2 linked regions of the Diceros bicornis minor genome follow. The protein of the gene in region 1 binds, or shares a complex with, the protein of each later gene. Links are inferred from orthologs where the notes say so. Each region holds a gene or a part of one and is shown on either strand. Other genes may lie near its edges.

Region 1 (9,477 bases):
CCAACCTCCATCTTGAACAGCCATGGAAACTGAGGCCAGAGAGGGGAAGACTGCCTGGGTCACACAGCAAGTGATGGCAGAGTGGGGACTGGTTCCTTGGGAGGCTGTGGTGTGTACAGCAGGGGGCCCTCAAGGTGTGTAGGGGTGGTAAAGGAGAAGGGGGAGCCCTGGACCTCGAATCAGATGGCAGTTGGAGTCCTAGGTGGGCCGCCAGCTGGCTCTGTGACCTTGGGCAATTCTCTTCCCTTTTATAAGAGAAAACCCTCCCAGCACTCCTCACTGTACAAACTTCCCCCGGTTTATGAGGCCACCTGCCTCTCCCTTTTCAGATCACTCAACACATGTTACTTAACTACCTGCTTTACAGTCTATCATCCTGGCAGGGCAGGGGCTGTGTCCCAGTTCACTGTGGTGTCCTTGGCACAGGGACAGGCACAAAGGTGCTCAATAAAACTTGAGTGTATGAAGGAGCTCAATAAATTGTTTATTGACTAACAAATTGTCTATTATCTGTCAGGCACCCTACACACTTTATCTTCAAAATAGTAAACATTATCCTCAAAATAGTAAAAATTACAATTAAAATGTATTATGCACCAGGCTTCATATGCATCACCTCACTTAATCCTTTCATCAGCCCTATGAGGTAGGATCATTTATTATGTCCATTTTACAGATGAGAACAAACCCATACTCAGGTTGAATCATTTGTCCAAACTCATATGGCTAGAGAGTGACTTTGGATTTGAAGCCAGACCTGCCTGACTAAAGGATGTTCTCCTATTTGCTAAGCAGCCCTTATAAGAGTGAAAACATTTTGACATTTGTAGGAAACGTTCCCAAGCCATAGGGGGGTGCGTCACTCACACTGGTAGTACTCGACCTGGCCACTCTGCAGAATGATGGCCAGCACCAGCGTGAGCTGCGGTGTCGTCTCCAAGAAGGTCTCGAAGAGTCGCAGCATGCTGATGTCCAGGGAGAGGAAGTCGGCGTAGGCCATGTCAAAGTCGGAGGGCACCTCCTGCTGCCAGACCAACAGCCCCTGCCGCAGCCCCTGCAGGCACCTAGGCACATACAGATGCCCCAAGGGGCCAGGTTAGTGTCCTCGGCTATTCCTCTCTCCCCTAACCTATCGGGTGGATGCAGACAGACCTCCAATCCTAGCTTGTCACTAACATGCTGTGGGGCCTTGGGCAAGCGACTTCACCTCACTGAACTTGCTTCTTCATCTGTAAAATGGGGATAAACACAACTACTGCTGGCCAGGCAATGTCCCAAGCTCATCACAAATCTTGTCCCCTTTACTCCCTACAACATCCCGATTTTACAGATGGGGAAACAGCACCAAAGAGCTAATGAGGGTGGAATCAGGATTTGGATCCAAAGCTGTTTGAATTTGAAAGACATATGAAATTGCCTAAGGTGCTAGTTCTCAAATTTTAGCATGCTTAAGAATTTCTTGGGATCCTATGGGGCAGGGGAGCCATTGAGAGCTTCTAAGCATAGGCAGATAAGTCAGATTGTGCTTTAGAAAAATTACCACGGCTGTGAAGAGGAGGAAGGGTGGGAGGGGTTGGATTGGAAGCAGGGATCCATTTAAGAGGCTGTTGTAACAGTTCAGGGAGAAAGCATGAGAGCCTGACCAGAGTGGTGGAGACAGAGACCAGGGCGGAGTCAAAAGAGTCCAGAGTGGACAGACAGGCCTGGGTGACCCACTGGCACGAGGCAGGAATAGAGGATGCACCAAAGTCTTGCCCACTCAGAACTGATCTCAGTTGGCCACAGGAAAGGGAGCCCATATACTCACTGCAAATTCATTCATCATTGGTTACTGACACTTCCCCTGAATGGACTTGACAACACACTAAGGCAGCAGGCAGGCAGGCCTGGGTCAGGGCTCTCTCTCAGCAGAAGCCTCTGCCTCTGGTCCCCCAATACCTGGCAGGGGCCCCTGCCTCAGCCTAGTCACAGGCAGGAACAGAGACCCTGTTTCTAAACCAAAGCTCCATATAGTCTGTCTGCCTCACGCTCAACAGAAATAGGGAAGGGAGGATGCGTGGCGTAGTTGCGGATTCAGGGCTCACTGAGACCTGCCAGGACCGTAATAACTGTGCCCCTCCCCGCCCACCCCAGGTTTAACTGATGCCCGTCTGGTCCCTCAGACAAAACTGCAACATTCAAAGCTCCACTTGTCCCTCCTGGAGAATCGATGCAGCTTTGTCAAGGCAAGATCTGGACAGAAATTGTAAAAATGCATCCAAGAGTGAATCCTGGCTCCAGCCACCCCATCCCAACCCAGACCACACCACGTCCTGACTTCGTCACAGGACTGACCCCTGGCTTTCAGTTTCCCCAACTCTATAGGGCCCTGCCAGTTCTGAAAAGGCTGGCTCCAGGGGCAAGGATGAGTCAGACCCCATCTCTGCCCTCTTGCTCAGTCTGGGGGTTTTTCCAGGTCTCATTTTTTTCAGTCCTCATCAGAGGCCCGAACTACGACCATCCCCACCGGAACGGGGCGGGGAGGAGGGGGGCGGCGGCGGGGCGGGGGTTGTCAAGTGACTTGCCCAAGACTCCACCCACAGCTAAAAGAACAGCCTAGTGTTGAACCGAGTCTGGGGGTCTTTGCCATCACAACAGAGTCCAACATGTGCCAAGCGCCGGGCTAGGCGTTTTCCCTCTCTCCTCACAACAGGCCCGCCTGCCAGCCCTAATCTAGATTACTACTTCCTTTTAACAGAGGAGGAAACCCAGGCTCAGAGAAAGGCAGGAATGAAGCCACAGGCGGGAAAGCCAGGACTGGATACCAGAGAGGTCTGACTCCAAACCATGCGCCTCCCTTTTTTCTCTGGGCCTCAGTTTCTTCCCCTGTGCCAGGAAGAGCAGGGCTAGATGAGCGCTGAGGGTTGTCAGCGGGAGCTCTCTCTCTTTGAGGGACGGAGAACTTACCTGTAGGTAGAGGTGCCCAAGGGGCTTAGTTTCCTCTCCTGGGTCCTGGTCCTCTCCTCCCCACCCTCTTCCCAGCTGCAGGAAGTGCCGCTGGGCTCCGTTCCCCCTCCCTCCTTCCGAGGGCGGGGCGCTCACCTGTACAGGTAGCCCAGCTGCAGGAGATGCAGCAGCGCCAGGCAGCGGCCCGGGGGCTGCGGAGCGTGCAGGCCGGCGGGGTCGGCGCGCAGCCAGACCCAGCTGAAGAGCTGCATCGCGACCGAGGCGAGGCCCAGCAGCGCCAGCACCAGCGCGGCCCACAGGTAGCGACCGCTGAGCACGTACTGGCCCGCGGCCCATAGGTCAGCGCCCAGGTCGATCAGGAAGGCGGCGGTGCCCAATACGCCCAGGACCAGGTCCCTAAGGAGCGCGGCGTGGGGTGACCAGGGCATGACCCACCAGCCTCTCCCCCTCCTTCTCTTCTTCGGCTTGGACCCGCCCTCCGGGCCCCGGGGTCTTAGCTGCAGGAAGGAGGCGGGCACAGCCCTCGGGGCCGCCTAGGGCCGGGGCCTGCTGGGCGGGACTTCCCTGTCCCGCCCTGTCCGGGGAGGAGCAAGACCCGCGTACCTCGCGTCTGGGTTGTCCGTGGTCCCCCACCCCCGTCCTGCCGCGTCACTGACGGACTTGCGGGGCTCTGGCCTTGCATCCTGCCTTGGGATTCCCCCCACCTAGCCCTCCGATCCCCGAGGACCGCTGGGCCCTAAGACTGACCGTCCGAGGCGCACCGCCCTTAGCCTAGCAGGCTTCTAATTGCCTTGTATTGCATTTGTCCCTCCAGGAGGCCCAAGACAGCGAAAGGGGCCCAGAAATTAGCGCCGGCGCTAGAACTGCAATCCCTTCACATCTGCATTGTTGCAAAACAAAACAACAAAACAGAAAGGCCTGTCGCAAACTAGGTGTGCCTCAAGTTCGGGCCATGGGCACAGTACTGAGGGCACAGGACCAACAAGGCGCATCTCCTTGGTGGCTCATTTCGCTCTGATTATCCGCTCGAGGAGGAGGGGAGGACGTTCAATAGCTGCAAGGGAGTTGCTTTAAACGTTATGTACATATTAAAAGGAATAATGCACAGAATAAGATGCACGATGAGCATTGTTTTTCGGATAAAACATGAAAGAAATGTGCTTCTGGTGGGGTCTTTGGTGCTTCATTTCCTGATCCGGCTGTCCCATCCCAGTTCACTCTGCGGGGGAAAAGGAGGAAAAGCCCAGCTCTCGGGGTGACGCTGCCCCCATTTACCACCGGGAAGACGAACTCAGCGTGCCAGCGGGCGGCGCCCAAGGTCACGGCGCGAGCAGCGCGCGCAGGCCCAGCAGCGCCGCGAGCAGGAGCGCGAGCCTGGGCGCGGGCGCGGCGCCGGGGGCGCGCAGGCAGGCGTAGTACGCGTCGAAGGCCACCTCGCGCAGCGCGCACACGTGCTCGGTGCGGCAGGCCTCGCCGCAGGCCTGGGTGTCGTAACTGACCGAGTTGTAGACATAGTAGCGCTGCAGCGCGCCCTGGTCGCTGGCGATGCGGCCCAGTGCCGCGTGCATGGAGCGGATGCTCGCGTTGGGCACCCCGTAGGCCTCGGTCACCCGGTACTCGAGCTCCCAGCTGGGCGCCCCCTGCGCGTTCGCCTGGCTCAGGTTCACGAAGTAGGTCACCATGTCCTAGAGAGGGGGCGCGAGGCAGGCCGGCCATGAGCAGCTGTACGGTTCCACCCCAATCCTGTACCTTGCATTTGCCCCCAAATTCTCTATAGCCGTAATAATGACCACTATTAGTTACTGAGCATTTACTACTTACCAGGTATGCTTGGCAGACATCCTCTGATTGAATCTGATGAGGTAACTGTGCTTATTAGCCCCATTTCACCTATGAGAAACTGAGGCCTAAAGGGGTTAATGCCTTTGGCCAGGGTCCTACAGGTGTTCAGTGGCAGAGGCGGGATTGGAACCCAGGTTGTTTACCCCATGGCCCGTGCATTTTCTGTCCCAGCAAGCACAGAAAATGCTCAGTAAATATTTACAGAGTGAATGGATAAAAAGCAACTTAAAAGAAGTGGGACAGAGTGCCTGGCTGAGAGAGGTTATAGAATTGTGGTTGATGGGGGCTTGGGATACACCCAGGACCCCCTAGGACTCAGGTGCATTTTCAGGACTAGAATCTGGAAGGGTTTATCTGTCCAATAATATCCACTTGAATATATGGACCTGCTTCAGGGCGCTAGAGGTGGGGTAAGAGGAGCTGCCATGTATGGATGACAGCTTCCTGCTGGGCACATGACATTATTTCAGTTAGTCCTCCCCACCCCTGTGAGGTACTGTTACTCCCATTTTACAGATGAAGCAACAGAGGCCCAGAAAGGTCAAAAAGCTCATGAGTCCTGAAGCCAGGATTCAAACCTACGTCTGTCTGACTCCCTCCCTGAGAAGGATGTAGGGCCTTCTGCGTGCCCATGTGGACAACTGGCCATACTCTAAAAATCCTCAGGCCTCGTCTCCATCCACATTTACTCTGGAACAAAGGACCTGGGTTATCTCCTCCAGTCCCTGGTTTTAAATGGCCTTTCTCATCAACCAGATTAAGTCTCTATACCCACCTCTTCCTGGAACTCCAGCTTGAACACCCAACTTCCTCTTCCCTCGGCATTTTCATTTGGATGCCATTTAGACATCCCAAAGTGAACAGGTCCAAACCAGACTTCTGATCTTCCCTCCAAAACCTGCACTTCGACAGTGTCCCATTTCAGTAAGCGGCAGCCTCATCCTTCCAGGTGCTCAGGCCAAAGCCTTGGAGTCCTCCTTGACCCCTCTCTTGCTCTCACACCCCTCATCCAATCCACCAGCAAATCCTGTCCGCTCTGCCTTCGAAGTACGTCCAGGATCTGGCACTTCTCGCCACCCCACTGCTGCCACTCTGGCCCCCGCCACCCTCCCTTCTCAGTGGTTCCTGTGGTGACCTCCTCACCGATACCCTACTTCTGCCCTTGCCCCCAACAGCCTGTTCTCTGCACAGCAGACATGGTGACTTTGTAAAATTGTAAGTTAAAATATTTAATTCATCTGCCCCAAACTCCCCAAATGCAGAGTCCTAATGATGGCCTACGTGATCTGACCTCATCCCTCCCACTCTCCCCTTATCCTTCCACCGCAGCCACACTGGTCTCCCTGTTCTTCCTCTAACACACCAAGAACATCCCCACCCCAGGGCCTTTGACTTGCTCTTCCTCCGCCTTCCCCTGATGCTCACATGGCTTGCTCCCTGAATTTACTCAGAATTCAAATGTCACCCTATCAGGGACACTTCCCTGCCCCACCTACCTAACAGCACACAACACACCCTGTAACCGTCACTACTTGTCTCCTCAGTGTGTTTTCGTTTCTCCATAGCTCTTCTTCCTGTGCCATACTTTACTTACTCCTTTATTGTCTGTCTCCCATAAGAAGGTCAGATCCAGGAGAGCTGAGGCTGTTTTTGTTCACTTATGTATCACCTGAGCTTAGCACATGGCAGATGCCTGGTACATTTTGTTGAATCAATTAAGGAATAATATTTCTTTGTCATTTCAACAATCACAAGCACATCTCAGGAGGTGAGGGATGGCTCGATGCCTTAGGGGCCTGCTATGGCTGGGGCCTAGTTGGTGTAGGGAAGCAGTGGGTAGGAGGCCCGAGGTCACACTGTGGGAGGCCTTGACTATGAGGTCAAGGAGATCCAACTTGTTTTGGGGGCACTGGGGAGCCATTGAAGGTTTTTGAGCAGGAGAGAGAGAAGTGCTTTAGAAAGATTAACTCTTTCTGTAATGTGTAGCAGATGAGCTACAGCAGGGCAGGGCTAGGAGGCTGTGATCCAGGGCCAAGAGAGATTTGGGGAAGAAGAATTGACCTGACTTGGTGGCAGGGTTGGGAGGTGGCTCTAGGGTTCTGAACCTGAGCTCTGAAAGGATGGAAGTAACTTGAGCTTCCTGAGGCTCAGTGGTCAGCAGAGGGTGGGTTAGCTGGGAGAGAGTTAGGGAAGGCAGTGAGGTGTCCAGGTCCCTCCCCTCCCTCCTCCTCTGACCCCAACAGACCAGGGCTCCTGACCTGCAGGCTCAGTGTGGCTTGGTCGTATTCGAACACCCGGATGCCTGGATTGTTGGCCCCGTTGACCACTCCAGGTAACGTGGTTTTCCATGGGGTGACCCCAGGTGTAATGAACATGACACTGATGGGGGCACCTTTCAGGAGAAAGACAGTGGGACTGAGAGAGGCCGGCCAGAGAAGGAGGGAGGTGGGCTGGCAGTTGCCCTTCAGGTTGAGTACCTGCATCATCATAGAACATTCGAAAGCTGTCGGTGTGGTGGTGCCCGAAGAACTGCCCTGCGATGACTCGATGGTGCTTCTGGACCACCTTCAGGTACTCCTCGTTGAAGCCCTCCCGGAACCATGCCTTGTTTCGTGTCTTCTCAAAGAACCCCGGGGGCACGTGGCCAATAATGTATACCTACAGGGAAGGGGTGTCCAGGAGGAGCTCCGAGATGTCCTCCTCAACCCCTCATTGCCCCCTCTCCAAACCTGCCTTTCTCCCCAAAGGCAAGCAGACAGGCTCAAATGTACCTCCTCCCCCGAAAGACTACCTCTGGCAGATTCCGGCACTCTCTGTACCCAGCAATGAATGTCCCACACACTTCCCCACTTCTGTGCCTTTGCCCGTGCTATGCCTGCCACCTGGAGTACCTTTCTCATTTTCACTTCTGTAAATCCTACTTGTAGTTCAAAACCTAGCTCAAAGGGCACCTCCTCATGAAACCTTCCTGATCCTTCGGAGACTAGTCTTCTCTCTTGGAGAGCTCAGGCCCTGTCACTAAACCTTCCTTGCCTGGTTGTGTAGCACATGCTATGTGGTAATGTGTGTTCACGTCTTACATTGCTTGAATCACTCAGCTAACAATACCTGGGCCCTTGGCCACCATTGCAAGAGGTAGAATGGGGGGTAGGGGGAGAGCAGTTAAGAGCATGAGCTTTGGAGTCAAACTGCATCTTGGACACCAGCTGTGGATCACCTCTCTGAGCTTCTGTTTTCACATCGGGAATAGCACCTAACTGGTGGAGTTTTCAGAAAATGAGATAATCCATATAAAACACTTAGCAACGTGCCTGATGCATAGTGAGTGCTCAGAAGCACCGGCCGTGAGATTCTGCTGGGATGTGCTGGTCAGTGCAGGACTCAGGAAAATGAGACACAGGGCTAGTCCTCAGGGAGCTGCCAGCCCAGCAGACTAGATGGACCACCTCCAGGGCAGGGCATCCCTTTATGTGGGCTGCAGCTGTGGCATGTCGGGGCAGTGGAAAGAGCACTGGACTTGGAGTCTGGAGACTGAGGTTCTAGTCTCAGCTCCACCACTTATTGTGTGACAGGACGGTCACCACCCCTCAGGAGCCTCACATCTGCAATGGGCTCCAGGGTCCCAGCCTCACATGCTGTTGTCAGGATGGAACAAGCCCCCTCCTGGTGCTGGGTTGATGAAGGACCCTCTGTGATGTGGGCATCTCGGGTTGGGTGGGTGAGTTTGTGCGGAGGCGGCAGACCTGTTCAGGAAGTGACCCCAGAGAGGGAGGAGGAGGTGGCAGCAGCCCTTACCATTTCCCCAGCTCGGGATGCATTGGTCAGCACGTCTTCCAGCCACTGGAACTGCTGGCCGGGGTCGGCCATGCCAGCTGTCTGCTCATTGTTGCTATAGTACAGATTGGTGTTGAGGACCACGATTCGCCCAGCCCCACTCGGCCCCAGCAACTTCTCAGAATAAAAGGCACCTGGAACATCACAGCCAGGGAAAATCTGAAGGGGTCCTCTGCCTCTGACCAGACACGCCTCTGCCCCCTTCACTTCACTCTCTCACCTTCTCCTTCCCTTGCATCCTCCCTTCCCATTTTTCCCACAGGAGGGGCATCATGAGTAAGACCAAAGATTCTGGAGCCAGGGTGCCTGAGTTCAAGCCCTGGCTCTATCACTTATTAGCTGTGCAACTTGGAAAAGTTAACCTCTCTATGCCTCAGTTTCCTCCTCTGTGTAATGGGAATAACAATGAGGTGTGTTTGCCCCTCCAGATCCACTGTCAACCCTTCTCCACTCAGCTCTCTGCTCCAGGAGCTGATCTATGTGAAGTAAATCAATAGGCTTCTATGCCATGGGCTTCTGCTTGGGTTTGGCCAATGGGGAGCCCCAACAGCAGGGAACTGAGGGAAAGGGAAGAGAGTAGGTAAGGGGAACCTTGGGCTGGCTGTGTCTCTGATCAGTGGTTCTCAACCAGAGGATCTTGTGCCCCAGGGAATATTTGGCAATGTCCAGAACATTTTTCGTTATTGCAACAGGGGTGTTTCCGGCATCTAGTGGGTAAAGGCCAGAGATGCCGCTAAACATCCTACAGTACATAGAACAGCCCCCACAGCAAAGAATTATCCAGCCCAACATGTCAATAGTGGCAAGGTTGAGAAACCCTGCTTGAACTGATGGTCACTGCGCCTTCCTGGGGTT
Region 2 (9,083 bases), on another chromosome or scaffold:
AATCTGCCTCCAGTGACCCCGTTCCCAAATGAGGCCCCGTTTTGAGGTTCAGTGATGTGAATTCTGGAGGGGACACCACTCGCCCCGGGACAGACGGGGACACTTGTTGCCCTGCGATGGAAGGCTGTTCTCACCCCAGCGACTGACAAGGAGACCGTGGCTCTGGGCGAAGCCACGTCCCACGTCCCTGAGAGGCGGGGGAGTCGGGGGGGCCTCGGGCCCGGGTCCCCCAACATGACACTGGGGAAATGGACAATGGGACAGGCACGTGGAGAGACTGGCCAGCCTGGGGTCTGTCCCAGAACAAAGGACAGAGGACAACAGCACAGCTCACGCGGCGAGCGCAGGGCTGGGCTGGCCGGAGAGCTGGGGAAAATGCCGGGCACTCAGGGGCGTGGACCCAGCGTTTATTTGCAGAAATACTCAGCTTCTCAAATATGATCCTCTCTCTCACATCTTAGGGTTGAAGGTGGTGCCGGCAAGTCTAGGGGGAACATGTGAGAAGGAGAGAGAGACAGAGACAGAGACAGAGAAAGAGAGAGAGACAGAAAGAGATAGAGAGACATACAGAGACAGAGAGAGAGGGAGAGAGACAGAGATAGAGAGCAGAGACAGAGAGGGAGAGAGACAGAGACAGGGACAGACAGAGACAGAGATACAGACACAGAGAGACACGGAGAGACGGAGAGAGGGGGGAGGGAGCAGATGTCCCCGGCTGGGCATGCAGGTGAGGGGGGTTATTATCCTTAGAACTTCACTGAAGTTTGAGGACTTTTCAAAATAAAACATTGAGGGGGCCGGCCTGGTGGCTGAGTGGTTGAGTTTGGGGCTCTCCGCTTTGGTGGCCCAGGTTCACGGGTTCGGATCTCAGGTGCGGACCTATACCACCCATCAGCCATGCTGACGCAGCGTCCCACGTACAAAATAGAGGAAGATGGGCACAGATGTTAGCTCAGCGTTAATCTTCCTCAGCAAAAAAAAAAAAAAAATTGTAAAACAAAAAATCTTCCTCTTATCCCGCTACGACAAAGATATGGACACACTGGGGAGGAAACCTTGAAATCAACCAGGAAATCCTACAGCTCAGCGACCAGAGGTCGACAAGGGTCCCTGACACTCATGAATAACCGTCAACGAAAAGAAACCCTCGGTTATCAGCCTGGTGGACCAGGCTGGGGAAAGACTGGTTATCTTCCTTTCTTATACGGATTTATCTTTGTCTTGTCTTATCTTTATTTTTTGGAGTGCATCGCTAGAAAAGACTACAAACCCACGGGCGCAGAAGTCCAAAGCCCAAAGGCTCATCTAGAGGGACTGTCTGCATTTTCTGGGGAAGATACCGGTGATGGACGGGGGTGGGGAGGGCGGTGGCTCCCGTGACCCCCTCGCAGGGCGGCGGTGGTGGTGGCACTCGGTGGACGGACGCGCCCGCCCTTAACGCCAGTGCCAGGCTGGCTGGCCGGGTGTCTCCCGGGTCCCCGCCTGCGGGCACTCCTGGGCCGTAACAAAACAGCACAACTGGGTGGCTTAAGACAACAGAAATTACACCCTCATGGTTCTGGGGGCAGAAATCCAAGATCACGGTGTGGCAGGGCCGGGCTCCCTCCAGAGGCTCCAGGGGAGGGTCCTTCCTGCTTCGTCCAGCCTCTGGGGGCCCCGGCGTCCTGGGCTTGTGGCCGCATCACCCCAGTCTCGGCCTCTGTCATCACATGGCTTCTCTGTGTCTGTCGCTCCTCTTCTGTCTCTTATAAGGACGTTGTCATTGGATTTAGGGCCACCCTTATCCACGAGGACTTCATATCAAGACTCTTAATTACATCTGCAAAGACCCTTTTTCCAAATAAAGTCCCATTCACAGGGTCTGGGAGCTGCCTTGTTGTCCCCTGCCCATGTCCACTCCCACCCCCAGGGCCTCTCCCCTGGCGGCCGAGACATCCCCCGATGACACAGGTCAGAGGAGAGGACGACCCTCCCTGCTCACATCCCTCCCCGGGCTCCCTGGGGCCCAGGAATGAAATCCACCTTCTCCCAGCCGTCACCGCCTGGGGCCGGGCTGCATCTCCAAGCTCCCAGAAGAATACGCCTGGAGAACTAGCTGGAACATTCGAGCAAGGGACAGAGGTGTGACAGAGAATGAAAATCCTACGTCGTCGTCTCTCCTCCCATCTGTGAGTTGAAAGGTTTTATAAGAAAAAGCACAAGGTGAGCAAACCAGGGCAGATACCCAGCGATGGGACAGCGGCCGGTGTCTCAAGTGTGAGGCCCTCGGGACAAGACGGCCTCTGCCAGGGAGGGAAGGGGCGAGGCAGTGACCTGGAAAGGGCACAGCCTGGGCAAAGGCTCAGAGGCAGGAAACACTGCCAGTGAGGCTGGGGCCAAAGGCGTGGTGGGTGGAGGGCGCCGAGGCCGAAGGGGTCAGTGGGGGCGAGGCCGAGGGAGGGGTTCGGCCTCGATTGCAAGAGCTGCTGGAACGAGGGAGATCCAGGCCAGAGGAGACAGCTGCCTCCTTCTCCTGCTGTCAGAGGAAGCCGCCAGATCTGAAATCCGGGCCCTCCCAGAGGGGGTGCAGGCCCCGGAGGCCAGGGTGGGAGACAGCGAGGGTCCTGGATGTCCACTCGCCCACAGCCAATTAGGGGCACCCGCAGGGGGCAGATGGCGGCCCGGCACAGGGCCCAGGCCAGGCTGGCTGTCCCTGCCCTGCACACGGGCAGGCGGACAGCAGGCAAGGGGCCCGGGATGGACGTGAGGTCAGAGAGTGACCTGTGCGATGAGGGGAGTTACAAGGGTGAGGGGACCGGGTCAGAGATGCCGATGGAAGACGCCAAATTCAGTTACATTTGAATTTCAGACGTAGGACAGGCAATTTTGGGGATCAGTATATCCCAGATACTGCGTGGGACCTACTGATAACTTAAAAAGGTACTGATTTTTTTTTTTTTTTATCTGAACTTCAAATGTAACTGGGTGTCCTGTATTTCCGTTTGGTAAATCTGGCCACCCAGCCCGCGTGGCCCTGGCTGGCCTCTCCGTGGAGGCAGAGGGGGACAGGGAGCCGCCTGCCCCAGGGTGAGGCCAGGACAGAACAGAGCGGGGATCGGGGAGGGGGACAGAAAACTGGGTCTTCAAGGAGGCACAGCTTTGTTCCGTAAACAAAGGCTTCCCGGCAGCCCTGATATTTCCCATGAGATCTGTCCGCAGCCCAGCCCAGCGAGGGCGGGGCGGGGGCCAGAAATCCTGCCCAGGCCAGGGGCTTTGAAGCCAGCTGGCGGCCTTCCTCCCCCATTCTGCACGTAGCTCTCAACCCCCCTGCGTGCGGCCTCAACAAGCCGGATGGGCCTGGGGCTGGGGCTTCTGGTTGGCTCCCGGGCGGTTCTGAGGCTCCAGGCCCCAGGAGTGAGGTCCTCACCCACAACCCCTTCATCAGCAAGTCCCGGCCCCTCTGCCACATCCTTCCCACGTTTTCCTCCAAAGCCCCCCAAAGCTGGGACTCTGCCGGCTCTGCCCACCCTCCTCCCTGGACCTGCCTCCCCGGGCCAGACAGGCTGTTCCCAGACACACCGCTCACCCCTTACTGTGGCCACTGTTTCCTTGTTCTTGTCACCTTGTATGTCTTCGCGTCCCTGACCCCTTATCTAAAGCACATTACCCTATATTTAATTGAGATAATTCACACACCATACAATTCACACAAGTAAAGTCTGTAGCTCAGTGGGTTTAGTACATTTCAGAGTTGTGCACCCATCACCACATTCAATTTCAGAACATTTTCATCACCCTAGAAAGCAATCCCACCCAATCAGCAGTAACTCCTCACCCATATCCCCCAGCCCCTGGCAACCATGAACCCACTCTCTGTCTGTGGATGTGCCTGTTCTGGACGTTTCACATCAATGGAATCACACACCGTGTGGTCTTCTGTGTCTGGTTCTCTCACTGAGCATCGTGTGTTCAAGGTCCGTCCACAGTATAGCTGTGTCAGGGCTTCACTCCTTTTGATGGCTGTGTCGTATTCGAGTGTGTGGATGGATCCGTTGTGTGGATCCATTCATCCATCGATGGGCATTTGGGCTGTTCTGCTTTTTGGCCGTTACGAATCATGCTGCTGTGAACACTTACGTACAAGTTTCCACGTGGACGTGGATTTTCAGTTCTTGTGGGGAGTGGAATTACCAGGTCAGATGGTAACTCTGGTTTACCCTTCTGAGGCCCTGCCCATGTTCTGCGCAGGGGCTGCACCATCTTCCATCCCGCCACCTGTGCACAGGGCTCCGGTGTCTCCACTTCTCACCAGCACTTGCTGTCTTCCGCGTTCTCGCTGCGAGCTGTCCCAGCGGGTGTGAACTGCTGTCTCACTGTGGTTGTGGTTTGCATTCCCCTGATGGCTCAGGATGCTGAGCCCTTCTTCATGTACTTGTCGTCCGTTTCTGTGTCTTCTTTGGAGAAGCGTATATTCTGATCCTTCGTCCGTTTTTTAACAGGGTCGTGCGTCTTTTTTTTTATCCAGTTGTCAGCGTTCTTTATGTATTATAGATATAAGTCCCTATCAGATACGATTCACCGATATTTTCTCCCGTTCTGTGTGTTGGCTTTTCACTTTCTTCTTAGTATTCTTTGAGGCACAAAAGTTTGTAATGTTGATGAAGTCCTATTTATTTTTTCCTTTGTTGCTTGCGCTTTTGGTGTCACGTCTAAGAAACCACTGCCTAGCCCAGGGTCACGAAGATTACATGATCCTGTTTTTGCTTGAAATTGTCGTTTTTTAAAGTATTTGTTGTAAGACAAACCCCAGGGTAGGTCTTCCAGGCAAATATAGGACAGCCGGTTACACCTGAATTTCAGATAAATAGCCATACTTCCCTTGAATAAGTATGTCCCAATATTGCACGGGTACTTACACTAAGAAGTCACTCGTTCTCTGTCTTAAACTTAAAACTTAACTGCGTCCGGGTGTTTTTTTTGCTAAATCTGGCAGCCCCCCGCCCCAGGGCACACGTGCACCTGTTCACAGGGATCTCTATCGCCTCCTCTAATGCTTCTTTCTCTTTCGTGTCGTGACAGAACACACATAGTATAAATGGAGCATTTTAGCCCCTTTTGGGTGCACAGCTCCGTTCCAACAACGTTTCCGAAAGAACGAAGGGAAACCAGGCTCCCAGCCCCGCCCGCGCGGGCCCCCCCTGTTTCCTAGCAACGCGGCCACGCCCCAGGCCGCGGGGCGTGGCCTGCCCGGGTCACGTGGTGCTGCCGCCCCGGCTTCCGTAGCGCGAGCCTGCCCGGGCCAGCGCGTGCGTACGTGCACCCGTGCGCGTGCGCAGACGGCGGCCGACGTGCCTGCGCACCCCGCCCCGCCCCCGGCGCCGCCCTGCGTGCGCGCGCCCGGCCGGCCGCCCGGTTCTTATAGCGCCGCCGGCGGCGGTTGCGGCGGGGACGGCGGTGACATGGCGGCCGCTCTGGTGGTCGTGTTGGGGCTCGTGCTGCTGGGCGGCGAGGGTGGCTCCGGGCAAGGTGAGGCCAGCGGGTGCGGGGAGGCGGGCTCGGGGCCTGCGGAGTCCGGGTGGTCCCCGCGGTTTGTGGGGACTCGGGAGATTCCCGGGGGCGGCATGCGGGGGGCTTCCCGGGGTTTGGGGGGACCCTGAGAGTTCCCGGGGGCGGCAGTTGGGGAGGGGGTCCCTGGGGTTTGGGGGGACCCGGGGGGTTTCCGGGAGCGGCATGGAGGGGGTCCCCGGGGTTTGGGAGGACCCGGGGAGATCCCACGGGCGGCATACGGGGGGGTTCCCCGGCGTTCGTGGGGACCCGAGGGGTTCCCGGGAACGGCATGCCGGGGGGTCCTCGGGGTTTGTGGGGACCTGGGGGGTTCCCGGGGTCAGCAGTGTGGGGGGTGGTCCCGGGGTTTGTGGGGACCCGAGGAATGCCCGGGGGCGGCAGTGCAGGGGGTGGCCGGGGAGTGGGGGCACGCGGCGGGTTCCCCGGGGGCGGCATGTGGGCGTCCCCGTGGTTTGGGGGGCTCAAGCGGGTTCCGGGGGATCCCAGTGCCGGGGGAGTTTCTGTGGTTTGGGAGGACCCAGCGGGTTACCCGGTGTGGCAGTTCTGGGGGAATTCTGGGTTTTGAGGGGACCAGAAAGATCCCAGGAGTGGTAGTGTGGATGTGGGGGTGCCCACTGAGGTACTGTGGGGGGCTTGGGGGCAGTTCTGGGTGTCGCAGTGTTGTGGGTTCCCGTGGTTCGGGGGGACTTGGGGTGTTGCAGGGGGTCCCAGGGTTTGAGGGGGCTCAGGAGAGGCTGCGGAAAGTTCTGGGGGGAGCAGTGCTGGGTGGGCTCCCTGGGGTTTGGGGGGACCCCGGGGGCTCCTTGGGCGCAGTGCTAGGGGGATATCTGTGCTTAGGGGGCCCCACGGGCCTGACTAGGGAAGAACTGGAGTGAAGTCTGATTTTCTTGATTGGGGGAGGGGAGGAGCCCTGAACTGGCCTGACCCCCTGATGAGGACTCCTGGGGAGAGGATCTGGAGGCACCCCCACGCATCTCTCCAGGGAAGGGACACCCCCCCCCACCCCCCCCCACCCCCCGTCCTTGAGCAGCTGGAGCCTGGTGGCCTGGGGAGGCAGCTAGGGAGTGGGGCCCCTGCCCTGGGAGTGTTGGGGAGGGGTGCAGTGGAGAGCCCCACCCCCACCCCGGGGCTTTTGGCTCTCATTTGGAAAGTGGGTATTGTCCCCAAGTGGGTGCAGGAGCCACATGCTCAGGAAGCGGCCGCTCCCGGGAGCTGGAAGGGATTGTCATTCCTCCCGGGATTAGGTCCCGTGGGCCGCGCTGGGACCTGCCCCGTGTCCGCCCCAACACTGACCCCTTGCAGGGGCCCGCACGCTCTGCTTCTTCTGGTCTTGTCTGATTTCGGGGCCCAGAACGAGGTGGTGTTGGTGCCCCTTACTCTTGTTGCGGCGTGGAAACTGAGCCTGGGTCGAGAGGGGAGATGTTCAAGGTCGCCGTGTGCTGCCGGAGCGCAGAGGGCTGCTTGCAGACTCAGGCGGGCTGGGCCCCGGGCCCTCACGGGCGTGGGCCGAGGTGGGGGCGGCCAGACGTCTGGTGTGGAGGAAGCGGCTGGGAACGTGTGATAAGACCGTTTTTCCAGAAGAAAGCACGACGGAGAGGGATGACTCCTTCCTGTGCCGAGACTCGTTCTGCGGTTCTGGGTTAAAGATTTATGGTGCCCGGCGTGGAGGGGACAAAGTGCAGCCCAGAAGGGTCCGGGCTCCGGCGGCTGTCCCGAGCAGGGCTGGGAGGGGCTGCTGTGGCACACGCTTCACCCGGTTACCCCTGACCCACTTTAAGGTCTCGGTCCACGCCTCCTTCCTTATGATCAGAATGACCATTTATTGACCGCCTCCGGGCCGGGGCCTTTGGCCTGCGGCCAGCCTGCCCGCTGTCTGCCTGCAGATAGGAGCCTGCGGGCAGATAGGAGCCTGCGGGCAGATAGGAGCCTGCGGGCAAGGTGCGCGCGGGAGATAGGCCCCTCAGCCCTCTGGACGAGGCCCTCGATGGCCCAGCGGGTGGGAAGGCCTCGGGCCTCCTGCTTCTCCCAGGGCTGCGCCCGGGCCTCCCCTTCTCCCTGTGACGGCTCCACCGTTCCCAGGGGCTTCAGGGGGGATCTGAGAGTCGGGGTGCCGGCCTCTTCTCCCGGGGTGGGTGAGGGGCTTAGTGGAGTGTTCGCCTCTCCTGGACGGGTCAGTCCTAGGAGCTTTCTTCGGGGCCTCTGCCAGGGGCGGTTTCCTCCATTCGAGCATCGGGTGCCGAGAGGCTGGCACTCGGCTTCTCACGCCCTGCCGGGAGACCCTGGCCCTGCCCGGGCCTGTCCAGGGTGCCGTCGTCCTGCTGGGGCGGGCAGCGGTTTGCTAGCTGGGTCCTGCGGGCCGGTGCCGTGGTCTCTCTGGTCCTCAGGTGAGGCATGGAGGGGAAGAGCCTGGCTGGCGTCCCCTCCCGTCTGGGCTCCCGCTCTGCGGCGGGTGGGGTGGAGGGGCGCCCGACGGCCGTCCTGAGCGCTCCGGGGCTGTTTGCCACGAGGCCTCCTGCCCAAGCCCGGCCCTGCCCCGAGCGGACACACGGGAGGGGTGGCTGTTTTTAGATGAAGGTGACTTTACTGAGAACGTGGGCTCTGGTCATGTGGCCCGAGTCGAGTTCTCACGTCTCCAGGGTGGCGGAGGGCCAGGCGCCCGCCCTGCTCCCGGCTCTGGGGGTGGAGGCTCCCTGTAGATTCTGGGGGGTGCTCCCCGAGGTGGGCGGGGCCGAGGGGGCTGGAGGGCGTTGTTCCAAGCCTTTTCCATTGTGACCCCCGCTGGCCTTGTCCCAGCGGTGTTTCCACATCACAGATATAACGTTACCTGTAGCGGCAAGTGTCTGTGTGGTGATCCCAGTGAGGGCCACCACTGTTGTAACGCCTGAGGTGCCCCTTGGGGACACAGCAGACGTGGCTGCCTGTGCCCAGTCCACAGAGAGGGCGCTGTGGTGGGACGGGCGGCCAGGTGGCCCAGGTGGGGCCTGGCACGGTCCCCTGCAGCGTGTGGCCCTCAGGCCGGGCCGGGGTGTGGGCCTGTGGGTCCTCTGACCCCCGGGGAGGGAGGAGGGGTGGGGGCCCGCCCTGGGGGCGGCTGGGACGGGATCTGCCCCAGCTCCTGTCTGGCAGCCCCAGGTGAGGGCAGCCCGGGTGAGGGATGGGAGCGCAGTCGCGTCGAGGCGGCCGCTTGGGGAGGAGGCCCCGGCCTTCTTCCTGCCCTGAGTCACCGCCTGCGGTGCTGGTTTTGCTCTCGGGAAATCTTGGGTCCTGAGCAACATGGAGGCAGATCCTCCTGTGAACACGGCGCAGCCACAGAAGCTCCCAGCCTCGCGCCCTGGGCCTGTCCTGAGTCCACCCCCGGCCCTGGGGCCCGGGGCCGGCAGCCTGCTGTGCTGTGCTGTGTGCCCTGTGTGTGCGAAGACGTGCACATGTGTGCCGTCTGCATGTGTGCGTGCATGTGCATGCCCGGGAGCGGCAGAGGAGCCTCCCTGCCCTTCCTGCTGGCTCGCTGGGGTCCTGGGACTCGTGTCTCCGTGTCTTGT

Evidence for each region.
Region 2: the proteins of XKR8 (region 1) and BSG are in contact, whole or in part, in a cryo-EM structure (PDB 7DCE), measured with the Homo sapiens proteins. The link is inferred for Diceros bicornis minor from reciprocal best matches to the Homo sapiens genes XKR8 and BSG. Residues at the interface, in NP_060523.2 of Homo sapiens: His232, Leu236, Val239, Leu242, Trp243, Leu246, Gln247, Arg280, Gly283, Arg284, Ile287, Phe291, Ser294, Asp295, Leu298, Ala301, Thr302; in NP_001719.2 of Homo sapiens: Trp326, Pro327, Gly330, Ile331, Glu334, Val335, Leu338, Val339, Ile341, Ile342, Phe343, Tyr345, Glu346, Lys350.

The regions. Positions count from the first base shown.
Region 1 is NC_080752.1:43,432,517-43,441,993, reverse strand, and holds the start of XKR8 (XK-related protein 8), read right to left. Parts: upstream 3,531-9,477; 5' UTR 3,375-3,530; coding exon 3,082-3,374; intron 1,065-3,081; coding exon 868-1,064; intron 1-867. Other genes in the region: SMPDL3B (acid sphingomyelinase-like phosphodiesterase 3b), read right to left, coding at 4,024-4,631, 4,768-4,846, 7,047-7,180, 7,266-7,446, 8,584-8,756.
Region 2 is NW_026691553.1:240,497-249,579, forward strand, and holds the start of BSG (basigin), read left to right. Parts: upstream 1-5,403; 5' UTR 5,404-5,438; coding exon 5,439-5,505; intron 5,506-9,083.